Linked DNA regions of Caenorhabditis elegans. The protein of the gene in region 2 purifies or fractionates together with the protein of the main gene of each other region. This does not show direct contact. Each region holds a gene or a part of one and is shown on either strand. Other genes may lie near its edges. The genes, in order: prp-3 and syf-1.

Evidence for each region.
Region 1: the proteins of syf-1 (region 2) and prp-3 fractionate together in Caenorhabditis elegans (co-fractionation; one large-scale study listed by BioGRID). This does not show direct contact.

What each region holds. Positions count from the first base shown.
Region 1 is NC_003281.10:10,423,372-10,429,627, forward strand, and holds prp-3 (U4/U6 small nuclear ribonucleoprotein Prp3), read right to left. Parts: upstream 4,612-6,256; coding exon 4,552-4,611; intron 4,383-4,551; coding exon 3,445-4,382; intron 2,598-3,444; coding exon 2,148-2,597; intron 1,702-2,147; coding exon 1,458-1,701; intron 1,024-1,457; coding exon 850-1,023; 3' UTR 742-849; downstream 1-741. Other genes in the region: M03C11.6 (BBS2_C domain-containing protein), read right to left, coding at 1-49, 468-620; smrd-1 (SWI/SNF-related matrix-associated actin-dependent regulator of chromatin subfamily A containing DEAD/H box 1 homolog), read right to left, coding at 5,454-5,692.
Region 2 is NC_003279.8:3,875,367-3,881,539, reverse strand, and holds syf-1 (Pre-mRNA-splicing factor SYF1), read right to left. Parts: upstream 4,478-6,173; 5' UTR 4,475-4,477; coding exon 4,409-4,474; intron 4,362-4,408; coding exon 4,242-4,361; intron 4,197-4,241; coding exon 3,540-4,196; intron 3,493-3,539; coding exon 3,320-3,492; intron 2,932-3,319; coding exon 2,156-2,931; intron 2,102-2,155; coding exon 1,992-2,101; intron 1,522-1,991; coding exon 856-1,521; 3' UTR 797-855; downstream 1-796. Other genes in the region: T03F1.12 (Protein SYS1 homolog), read left to right, coding at 4,837-4,992, 5,038-5,210, 5,258-5,375; uba-5 (Ubiquitin-like modifier-activating enzyme 5), read right to left, coding at 5,813-6,173.

The DNA.
Region 1 (6,256 bases), on a different chromosome or scaffold from region 2:
AAAAAATCTGATTTTCAGTGATTGGAATCGATAATTCACAGTTAAGAGTCTGAAAGTTGAAAAAAATTAAAAAATGTTTTTTTTAATTGAATAAATATTACAAAGTCGTGAAAACCGACCACGTCCATTTTAAAGGCGCAGGCCATTTCTTCTGCTATATTGGGTCTCGCCACGATCTACACCAATTTATATTTACCACACGTGCCGAGACCCAGCTTTGGCGAAAAAAAATTAGTTGGTGTTTTCTTCCGGACGTGTAATAATAACCTTTTTTCGTAGAAAATTCTCAACAACTAGATTTTTTGGATATGTTTTTTTAAAATTTTAACCAATAAAGGGCATGGCTTCAGGCTAATTTTTGGCGGGGAATTTAAATTTCTCAGAAAACATTTTGGCGGGAATTTATCAATTTTTGAATCTTTTTGAATCTCCGTTAATTTTCAAATAAAAATCCTCATGTTCCGTACTTCTTTGATATATTGCCGTCGTTTTCTGCAATTTTCCATCTGCTTGGGATCTGTGACCACCCGTAGTGACTCCTCTAAAATCGCCCGTTTTGCCTTGATTTGCGCCTCCATCACTCGAATCGCCTCCTCAATTTTCTCGTCGACTTCTTCCATATTTTGCGGGGGTTTCTAAACAGAGAAATCTGTGGGAAATAAATATAAAAATTACGGGAAAATATGCAAAATGGGTCTAAATTACAACAAAAAGTGTTAAAATTCTAAAAAAATCTTTTTAAAATAAAATAATGTTCATTTACAGTCCCTTGGCTCAGGGCTCTCCGGGCTCCAATAACAAAAAAAAAATATTTAGAAAAACGAATTAAAATTTTCCAGAGATGTGTATTTAAGCAGTCGGTAGAATGTCTTGTCCCTCCAAAAGAACGGTGGTACTGTAACAGAGATCCCAGTATTGTGCAACTCCGTGCTTTTCGAAAAACTCGCGAGCCTGCTTCTCAAGTGTAGCCGTGTGAACGGTGAAATCACGGAAATTTCGACGCTTCACTTGTCCTTCCCAGATCTGGAAAATTTTTAATTTTTTTAACTTTCAAAATATTTTTGAAAAAAGATTTTCAGCTAAAATCTACTTTAAAAAATTGTTTTCGAAATTTCATTTTTTTTAATTTTTAATTTTGAAAATTCCACAATTTTCATAAATTTCGCGATTTTTCTACTTGGTTTTCGGTGAAAAAAAATTTATTAAAAAAAGGATTTTCTAAAGAAATTTCCAGCTAAACAAACTTCCTAAATTGAAATTTTAATTTTTTCAACTCAATTTTCAGTTTTTTTATTTGATTTGTTTTCAAAATTCTATAAAATGTATACTTTTTTAAGTTTTAATATTAAAAATTTCATGAAAAATTTCCACAAAATTTATTCAAAAATCCTGTAAAAATTTAGAATAATTTTCCTATTTTCTACAAGTTAAATCAAAAATTTCCTAATTTTTTTTACCATTTCACATAGATTTCTTTCTCCGGGAGCATCTTTTTCAGCGTCTTTCTTTTGTCCAATAATCTCATCAGACCACTTGATTCGATTAATCATCAGATTTTTATAGAATTTCTGTTGTTTTGGACCACCTTCCACAACAATCACATTTTGAGCTTTATGCATCATAATTGCTCCACTCATTTGTAATTGTTTCGCATTTGTCTCCACTTTGAACTTTTTCGACGGATGGGCCAGTGATTTTACTCTGCAAAAAAAATTAAATTTTTGCTTTACAGACGTTTTTTTTTGGATTTTTTTGGCATAAAATTCTATAAAAATTGTGAAAAAAAATGAAATAATTTTTTTTCCAATTTCTAGACTTTTTCATTTTCATCACATAATTTAGGAAAAAAACGAATTTCCTCAAAATTCGAATTTTCGATTTTTTAAAAATCCTTTTAAATATTAATTTCGAGTTTTCAATTTAATATTTCAAAATGTTTTTAAATATTAATCAGTAATTGTAAAATAGTTTAAGTAAAATAAAATAGTATTTGAAAAAAAGTTTTAAAAACTCCAAAATTTCCAATTTTTGAAGAAACTAAAAAATAAATTGTTTAATATTTTTGGAGAGAAATTAAAATTTTCTATGAAATTTTAATGCGGGAATTTCAAATTTTTCGTGAAAAAAATTGTTCGACGTAAAATTACCTATAAACCGAAACATTAACCGCCGTCGACGTATCCTCAGACAGTTTTTTCGTCTTTTTCGCGCGTTTCTGATCTTCGGTAAGCTTTCTCTCAGCATTCAATGTCTCATGTTTCTTCAATCTTTCAGCCATTTGTTTCCGAACTTGTGCTTCCATTTTCGTCGGATCCTGGATTGCTTCATTTCCAAGAACTCTCATTAAATTACTAATTTTGACTTTTGGCTCCGGAGCCTTTTCCAGTCCCAAACGAATCTTCTCTGTCTTCTCTTTCAGTACTTCCTTACGATTTTGACGACGAATCTTCTTTTTTTCTTTTGTTGTCAAGTATACTTTCAGATATTGTTGAGTTAATGGCTCAGTGGGTGCTCTCATTGAAATCGGGTGCTCTACGAGTTCGGAAACTGTCTGTGAGTATCTTTCCATGTCGTTTTCCGCAGGGATTTCGTCGTAGCTGCAAAAAATTTTATTTTTGAGGTTTTCTAAGTTAAAAATTGTTAATAAACTCTTGAAATAAATTAATTTTCTTTTTTTTTTTTGGTAAAAAAACGTCCAGAAAGGCGGCCAATTTTTGGAAATTATTTATTCAAAAATTGGAAAAAAAAAATCCAGTAAAAATTGAGTATTTTTCGCCACTTTTAACGAAAAAGCAAGAAAAAAATGGTAAAAATATAACTTGAAATTTGAAATTTCGAAAAAAAATTTTTATTTGTAGCTGCAGCTATAAAAAAACTTTTTGTGAAAAAAAATTTCAAGTTCAATTTTTACCTTTTTTTTGTTTTTTCGCTAATTTTGTAATTAAAATTTGCGCTTTTTGGCAAAAAAAAAAACTAAATTTTTGACACGAATTTTGTTCGCTATAAATTTCAAAAAACCCAAATTTTGGGGCTAATCTTCACAATTTCTTGCTCTGAACCAAGCTCTGAAGCAAAATATTTAAAATTTAATTATTTATATAAATTTACGCCGGGGTCGGCAAACCGGCAAACTGGCAAAATCGACAAACCGGCAATTGCCGTTCGACCAATTTTTTTTGTCGACAAATTCGAATCGGCAAATTGCGAGTTTACCGATTTGCCGGAAATTTTCAATTCCGGCAATTTGGCGATTTGCCGGAAATTTCAATTCCGGCAAATTGACAATTTGCCCATTTACCGGAATTTTTAAATTCCGACAATTTGCCGGAAAAATCGATTGCCGTTGACCCCTGCTTTACGTTCAATTTTTAAATAAAAGTAGCCTATTTTTTCCAATTTTTCGTTCCAAACCATCCCAAAAATCAAAAAAAAAAAAGTACTCACTTAACCTTATCCAACACCAACATATCCCACCACTCAATATCCGGTACCCCATTCTCCATTTTCGCCGTGCCCGTTGGTGTAACCATCGCAAGTTTCACAGCCGATGAGATTCCCGTCGATTGTGCAGCCGATGAGACCTCATTCTGAAGCCTTTCGAGCTTTGCCATTGCTCTTTGCTTATTCGCAAGTTTCTCGAATTCTCCCTTCTCATGGAAATTGAACCCCCGGCGACGTCGATCTGCAGTTCTCGCCTGAATCCGTGGATCCAGATACTCGATGAGTTTCTCCGGTTCTTTTGATTCTTTTGTGATCTGTTGTTGAACCTTCTTCTCTGCTTGCTGAACAGCTTCTGGCAATGGAGCCATCACTCCGGCTCCCGAATTTCCAACCATCGCATCAATCTTTGCCATTACTGTAGTTCTTGCGAGCCTCGCTTTCAACTCTTCCATTCGACTTTTCTTATCCATTGAATGTGTCATAAGCATTGTAGCTTCATCTCTTCCAAGCGATAAAGATTTTCCACCGGGAGCCACCATTTGTGTCTTTGCCTGAGCCAATGCGGCTTTTGGTTGAAGTGTTCCAGCTGCAATTGCCATTTTTCTCTTCGTCTCCTCAATCTCCTGCTGAGCCTTGTACATCATTTCCTTTGCTCGGAGTCGTTCTTCAATACTTTGCTCTGCAGGCTTTTGAGGTTCTGCTACTGCTGCTGGAACTGAAGCATCCGGCTTTCTCCGATCATCCGTCCGATCTCGTTTCCGATCACGATCCTCTCCGTCTCGATCTGTGCGAGTTCGTTTCCGTAGCTGTGGATAATGATCGCAAACGGCGGAGATCACTTTTCGCGCCTTTTGTGGGTCGGAGATTGCTTCTTGAACTCGATCCTTGAGCTTTTCGTAGTCATATCCTTTCTTCAGACATCTTTCGACTGCTTCGATTACCTGGAAATTTAAAATTATAGGATTTTTTTAGGTTTCGCCACGGAAATTTGAAATTTTTAGGTTCATAAAAAATTTTTAATTGAGCAAAAAACTCTCAGTAATAATTTGCCGGGAAATTCAAATGTTCAAATTCGGAATTCGATCAAAAATTTATTTCAAGATTACCAACCTTGTCCTGTTCCTTTTTTCTGCTCAAATACTGGTCGCAAATGTCCTCGAGCTTTCCCATCTGCAAAAATTTGATTTTTTTTTCAATGTAGAAGAGTGAAAATGGGAATTTTTAACTGGAAAAATACTTTTTCAATTAAAAATCACTAAAAATGTTAGTTTTTGAGCAAAAGAACAAAAAAAAATCAACATCTTCAATTTTGAAAAAATAAATACTAGTTTTCAGTTTTTAACCTGGAAATATGAGTTTTTAAACGAAAAAATAAAAAAAATACAGCTAACAATTTGATTTTTCCAGGAAAAATTGAAATTTTTCGGCTGAATTTTTAAAAATTAATATTAAAGCAAAAAATAGATAAAAATTGCGACAAAACGCATAAAATAAATAAAAATTGAAAAGTGCGAAAAAAATCACCATATTCATTGAATACACCAAAAAAGAAGCAATTTCCGTCTGAATAAGTTAAAAAATAAAATAAAAATTTTAAAATTAAGGTGCCAATAATTTTTCACAAAAAAAAACGGAATATGCAATACTGGACAGAAAACAATTGTTTTACAAAGAATATTTTGGGATAAAAATGATGAGATTTTTTTTGAAATGTAGGAATTACAGAAAAAAATATATATGGATGAAAATAAATATATAAAAATTGAAATTTTGAAAAAAGAAACAATTGAGAACCAACGTTTAAAGTGTTTTGCAGATGGGATGATGGATGGAGATCACTAGTAATTGAAATTTGGAAAAAAAAGTAAAATTAATGAAAATGGGGGTCAAAAACCTGGAAAAATTGGCTGAAAATCGATAAAATCTGACTAAATCCGATTTTGTCCCCGCTTTTCCGTGAATTTATGAGGATTTTGACCATTTTTGGGTGAAAATGAACGGGAAAAAAGTGATTAAGCAGATGTAGAAGGTTGAGATTCTTCCTCTTTTTGCTGCTCTTTTTCGACAGGCTCTTTCACAGCTTCATCTTCTTTTTTAGCTGCTTCTTCAGCATCAATTCCATTTTTCGAATCTCCAGAATCATCTTCCACGTCATCATATCGTCCACTGATCGCCGATGAAAGAAGTTTACTTAGATCACGGCCACCGCATTGTTCACCGCCTTCTTCTTCTTTCAGCTCACGGAGGGCGTCTGGAAAATTTTTATGTTATTTTTGATAAATTTTTGTTTAAAAAAATCGCATTTTTGACCGAAAAATCTCAAAATTTCAGCATTTTTTATGAATGGGAATTGAATTTTCTGGCAAAAAACGAAAATTTGCAATTATTTTAGTTTCAATAATTTAAAAAAAAAACGTAATTTTCAATGACAGAAATTTCAAAAATTTGAATTTAATCACATTTTTTTCCTGTAAAAAAATCAGAGTTCTTTGATTTTTTTTTTTGAATTTCTGGAATATTTGGACTTTTGAAAAGGTCGAATTTTCGAAATTTTCGGTAAATTTCGATTTCTTCTAACAAAAACTTAAAGTTTTCAATGAAATGTACTAAAATTTAAATTTTTTTGCTTTTTACGTAAAAATCGAGCATTTTTCGGGAAAAAATGTTGATTTTACCATTTTTGAAGAATTTTCTGACAGAAATTCAAAATTTTCACTGTAAAGTTTATCATAGATTATATAAACTTAAAAATTTGAACTTTCTACACGAAAAAAATGTTTGAAATTCTTAATTTTTAGGACAGTTTCTGAGAAAT
Region 2 (6,173 bases):
ATCTTTTCGCCACATTTTCTCTCACCTGTTGCGGCATATTTTCGCGCCAGAAAGTAGGCATTAGGGGTGGGCATTCTTGATTGATTGATTTCTTGAATTTCTTGATTTCTTGACAGTTTGTCAAGAATTCTTGTTTCTTGATTTCTTGATAAATTGTGTCAAGAAATCAAGAAATTTTTAACTCGAAATTTAGGCTGAAAAGTGGGTTTTTCAATTTTCCGAGAAATTATTTTATTATTTTTGCCATTTTCAGAATATAATAACTCAAAAAACACCATAAAACACAATTTCAGTTGGAAGAGCGAGGTTTGCAGAAAGGAATTCAAAAAGATTGAAAACGTTAACGTTCTTGTCGAAAAATTATTATTTTTGCACTTTTTGTCCATTTTCAAAGTTTCTTTTGTTCATATTCTTTAAAAAATAGGTTAAGACTGATAAATTTAACTATTTCTTTCAATTTCGCTTAAAAATAATATCCGTAGAAAATTTCTTGATTTCTTGACTTTTAAAATCAAGAATTCTTGACTGATTGATTTCTTGACTTTGTAAAAGTTTGCCCACCCTTGGTAGGCATTCTCATGAACTGATGGTATCGTAATACCTTCGAAGAATGAGAAAATACTAACGTTTTTTTGAAAAATTCTTAGTGATTAATCATGATTTCAGACAATTTTTATATTTCCTAAAAAAATTAAAAACACAATTTTTAAAAAAAGTATTACACACAGTGTTAGACAACACAACAACCAAGGAAAACATCACAAAAAAATTGGAAAATTGGAAAATTTGTAACATAAAATAAATAATTTATTTTTCAAGATCCTGAACAACAAATAAAATAAAAAATAATGAAAATCAAGCTTCTTCCTCCTCTTCGGCGAGCTTCAAATTTCCAAAAATCTGAGCTGGAACAACTTTGACTGAAATATCAGCATCTCCACCATCATCTTCCTCATCATCGTCGTCTTCATCCAAATCAATTTCATCAGGATTCTCTGTAGTATTCTGTTGTACCGTTTTACCGGCTCCACGTACAAATGAAATATTTCCTTTGTTCATTGAGACCTGAGTAATTGATCCTGCTCCATCCGAAGGTTGCTGCTGTTGCTGATCCAATGAATCCATCGGATTCGACGAAGTCGTAGTCTCCTGTGCCTTTCGTTCAGCATCCACACGCATTTGTACAGATGTCAGTGTGACATTCACGTTGTATGACGCTTCGACTGATCTACGAACACGAAGCATGTCACGAACAGTTGCCTCGTTTCCATGAGCAACTTCAAAGTTTTTCCACGTATCCCAGAACTTTACATGAACTTTTGGATCGGAAATCTCGGCGGCGTGCGCGTAGATCGCTCGGGCTCGGTCAATCTCTCCGACCGTCGTCTCGAGCTGAGCATACCGCAAGCTCATTGCTCGAGACTTATCCTCTGGCAATTCGGAAATCGCTCGTTCAAAGATGGGCCGGCACTGCGCGATTCCATACATTTCCTGGACCTTTTTGATGTAGATATTGTACATCTAAAATGACAATTTTGAAGAATTTGCGGGTTTTATCGGGTTTTATCGTGATTTTTCGTTTGAAAAATTGAATTTCGCGAAATTTTGTTGTTTTGAAGTGTTTTTAACTATAATTTTTGCGTCGTTTTGTTCAATTAAATCCAATTTTTGTCAATTTTCAGCAAGAATTTACAACATTTGGTCTCAGGAAGCTATAGATATATTAAAAATAAAACATTTATATTCCAAAAATTTTTGCGTCTTTAGCAGGAATATTGGATTTTCGTATAGTTTTTTTCGAATAAAAAGCTACACTATGCGCAATTTCGACTGAAAATTTCGAATTTTGTGCCTTTTTCTTTGCAGAAAGCTATGATTTTCCTATTTCCAGGTATTTTTGAGCTCTAAAGCGCTGAAAATTCAGGATTTTTTAATTTAAAATTGAGCTTTCAACATTTTTCAATATTTTACAAAAAAAAAATTGTGCTTACCGAGTGCATATCGGCACGGTCAACTCCTGAGCAGGCTCTGTTGTATATGGAAAGAGCATGCCTGGCGAGTCCGTGCTCTTCTTCCAGTTTGGCATAGAGTAAGAAAATATCTAAAATAAATTTGGTATTGTTTGATTTATTTCAACTTTTTCAAAAGTTCTTACATTTCGCATGGGTTGGTGGGCAGTTTTCCAGACATTGCTCAAACAAATCACGTGCTCTTTCCAGCTTCTTTCCACCGTATCTTTTAATGAATTTGACCAAATATGTATTCCAAATATCAAAAACTCCGGGCCACTTGAACAGAGCAATTCCCTTCTCGTAGGCTTGGAATGCCAGCTCGAAATACTCATTCTCCTCCAAAAACATTGCGTAATTCATAATCATCTGTGGAGAAGCTACACGAAGCTCGATCATCTTATCATAAACTTTCCGACAAGACTCAACAGTTCCACAACATTCCTCATAATCCGCGTACATTGCCCATAGAATCGGACTTCTGTGAACTCTTGCTTGAACTGATTGCATATTCTCGTAATCTCCTGGCTTCGGAACAACACATGCTCGTTGCATAACTGTCAGTGCAGCTTTTGCTCTTTTATGCTTCATTTCCATTTCGGCATACGCACACCACACATTTGCAAGTTCACTGACACCTCCGAATTGTGAGATCACAGCGGTCTCGAACGTCTTACGAGCAGCATCCAAGTCACCATTATCCTCATACAACTTGGCAAGACCGATCCAGAGATCACGAACTTTTCCGACTTGAATTTTGGGATTTACAGATTTTACGGCTTCCTTGAATGTCTCAATTTGCTTGTTGTAATTTCCTTCGTAGATATTCACTCGGTTGAGCCATTCTCCAACATTATGTGGATTCTGCCGGAGAAGTACACTGTTCATTAGTTCATTCTTTCTTTCCATCAAATGTTGATATCTGGAATTTCAAGAGGGTTTTACAAATTTATAGTTAAACGATTTGAAGGTAAAGGTAAAGGTAAAGGCTTTACAAAGAGATTTTGCAAAAATTGCTCAACACATTTTTTTCAAAAAGGGCTTCTTATCGGTGCTAAATTTCGAAAAAAAGGCCAATTTTAGCTAAAATCTCCAATTTTTTCCAACTTTTCCGTGCCCGGTCATTGATTTTTTTTAAATTTTAATATACCTTAGCGTTAGATAAACTGCACAAATAAAATAAAAAATACGAATAATCTGACATTAATCAAGTAAATGTCATGTTACGACCGCTGCGACACGGAAAAGTTGGCGAAATTGGTGATTATAGCTGAACTTAGGTCATTTTTTTGAATTTTTGACATACAAACCTCTGGAACATCCACTCAAGATCAACTTCTTCTTCCGGATCACCACTTTGTTCCACTTCTTGCATCATAATCGACACTTCTCGTTCTTCAAAAGCTGCATAAGCATCATAAACTTGAGCGAAATCTCGTACAGTTGACACTTTAGCAATAGCCTCCTCATACACGTCTCGAGCCTGAAATCAAATTTGTGCTCAGAAAAAAAACACTTTTTCAAATTTACTCTTTCGAACTCTGCGCTACGAATGTAATAGTCGGCTAGTGAGCACCACAAAAATCCAACTTGATCCGTGTACCGATAGATTCCTTGACGAATAATTGCGTCGACGTTCAGCGAGAAGATCTTTACTGGATTCTTTGAGATCAAATCACACAGCTGAGTCCACAGTTGATGTGCAGTTCTTCCTTTTTCCGAAACATTCTGATCTTGATTTACTAGAGTTGTCAATTCTTTTGCTGCCTCGTCGATTTGATCTCTTTCAATAAGATACTCAACGTAATCCTCACGAGCTTTCGGATTCATCTTCAAATATCTTCTGTAGACACGAATTGTAGTTTCTGGCAGATCGTGACTTGTCAGAAAGCCGATATACAATGTCCAGATACGCATGTGCTGGGTGACTGGAAGAGAACGGAGAGCTCGATCGAAAACTCGTCTGGTCTCTGTGATGAGGCCTCTTTTGATCATCACTTCGCAGTAACAAATCCAAATACGTGGCATCTTGTGTAATCTCATGAGACATCTCTCATAAGTGTCACAGAGTGCTCTCCAGGAGTTGTCTGTTGGGCATTTGTTGACAATTGTGCTTTCTCTGTATTTCAGATAATGATACCAAAGTTTGTAGCTTCTTTCGAAAACTGCAAGTGCACGTTCGTAGATCTGAAATTAAAAAATGTTTTTTGAAGAAAATTAAATGAAAATTACCAAAAACATCTGCTTGGCAGGAGATTTGTTCTGCAATTTGTGATCGATATATCTCTGCCAACAATTTACTGACGTGGGATTTCTAATGATATCCTCTTCAAACGGAACATCTTCGGAAGACTGAAAATTGCATTATTGTTTCCTGTTCTGATTGTTTCTTCACTTACGATCCCTTTCATCGTCTCAGAGTTCGGCATTTTTTCAATTTTTGTTGCATTTTCTTTGTCGGCCATTATCTGGAAAGATAAAAATATAACAAATTAAAAGTAATCCGAGCTTTAAATATTAAAAAGAATATGAATAAAATTTAATTTTCGAAAAATGCGGGAGATTTTTGATCGTCGGTTCTGGTGTATGCAGACCGAAAGAGTACGCAATTGTGGACCGTAGTCTGGTGTGGAAATACGCGTTGGCTTTTCAGGAAAAAAGATTTTATCGAAAAAAAACGTTGTGATTTCACATGTGAATTGTTTTTGTTCAATTTTAATTATTAATCTTAATTATTGAAATTTTGTAATCATGTACTTCGAATGTGTTTTTCTACAAAACATTGATAAATTCTCGGTTTCCCTGTGCAAGTATCCGAATTTTCAGAATGTCGTCGTTTCGGCAGTTTGTCTGGGATCCAGTGCTCCTCGTCAGTCAAATGACGTGTCTTCAGACATTTTTCTACGCTACTCAAACTTCAGTAATGCTGTTCTGCAGCTTTTTCGGCTACGAACCTCTCATTTCCTCTATTTTCTCAATACAGGTTTGGATTTTCCCAGTCTATTTAATTTTAAAATTATTATTTCAGACACAACGATCAATGGCATTAATTCAATTAGTTTCCGCCGTCGGAGTCTCATTCGCACTGTCGCATTTAGTGCAACGTGCGAAACAATGCCTGGATTTTGCCTGTACAGTGCACTTTTTCCATTTAATATTTACCACTATTTACAACCATGCTCTTCCAACCCAATTTACATGGTTAGGATTTAATTATAAAACTTTTGAAATTCAAATTCCTTTTTAAGGTGGATTCTTCAAGTAATATCGACAACAGTTTGCACGGTTCTTGGAGAATATCTGTGCATGCGAATCGAATCGCAGGAAATAAAATTGGAAGGTGGTCCTTCTCGCTACGATCTTTAATATAATCAGAGAAGCATATTTAAATTATTCAGCTCATTTTGCGGGTGTTTGATTCGATTATTAAATAGACAGTTCCTGTAAATTATCAATTAATTCGGTGTAAATAAACTGATGTTTCTTCTTCTTTCTTCTCTTGTAAATTAGGAGCATGAGAAAGTCAGAAGAAAGTAAATAATAAAGATTTTATGAATAAAATAGAAAACAGGGAGTTCAATCACAGATGATGTGTAATATGCAATACAAGGGGATAGTGAGCGAAGGGGGGACAGAATACAGGAAAAATAGAAGCTAAAAACCCAAAATTGGCTCCTAAAAAAAAGAAGGGGATTGACAATAAATTATTTAGCGAGTGTGATGGAAGGCGAGAGACTAGCTTATAAAAGCAATTTTAATATTGACAAGAATATGGGAAAAATCTATATTTTGATTTTTGGCAATTATTTTCCTTTGTTCTGGGCTTCCTCGACGAGTTTATCCTTGATCGATTTCATAAAATCATGGGTTGCAGCTTGAGCCGGCGACAATTCAGTCTGGGCATCTCTCTTGATTGGTTCATAAGCAAACTTGAGCCCGGTTCCAGCATTCAAGCTTGAAGATTGTTCTGCAGATGGCTCCGACTCATTTACCAGCTCGATTCCCCATTCATTGTCCTCATGAACGACGGTTTCTTCTTCTGGAACTTCCACTTCAAGATCCACAGGTTGATTGGCAACCTTCTCTTCGTATTCTTTTTGTCTTTGCAGACAGTGAGAGTCGTCGCAGTATGGGTTCGGCTTGATGCTGTCACGAGGGAAAAAG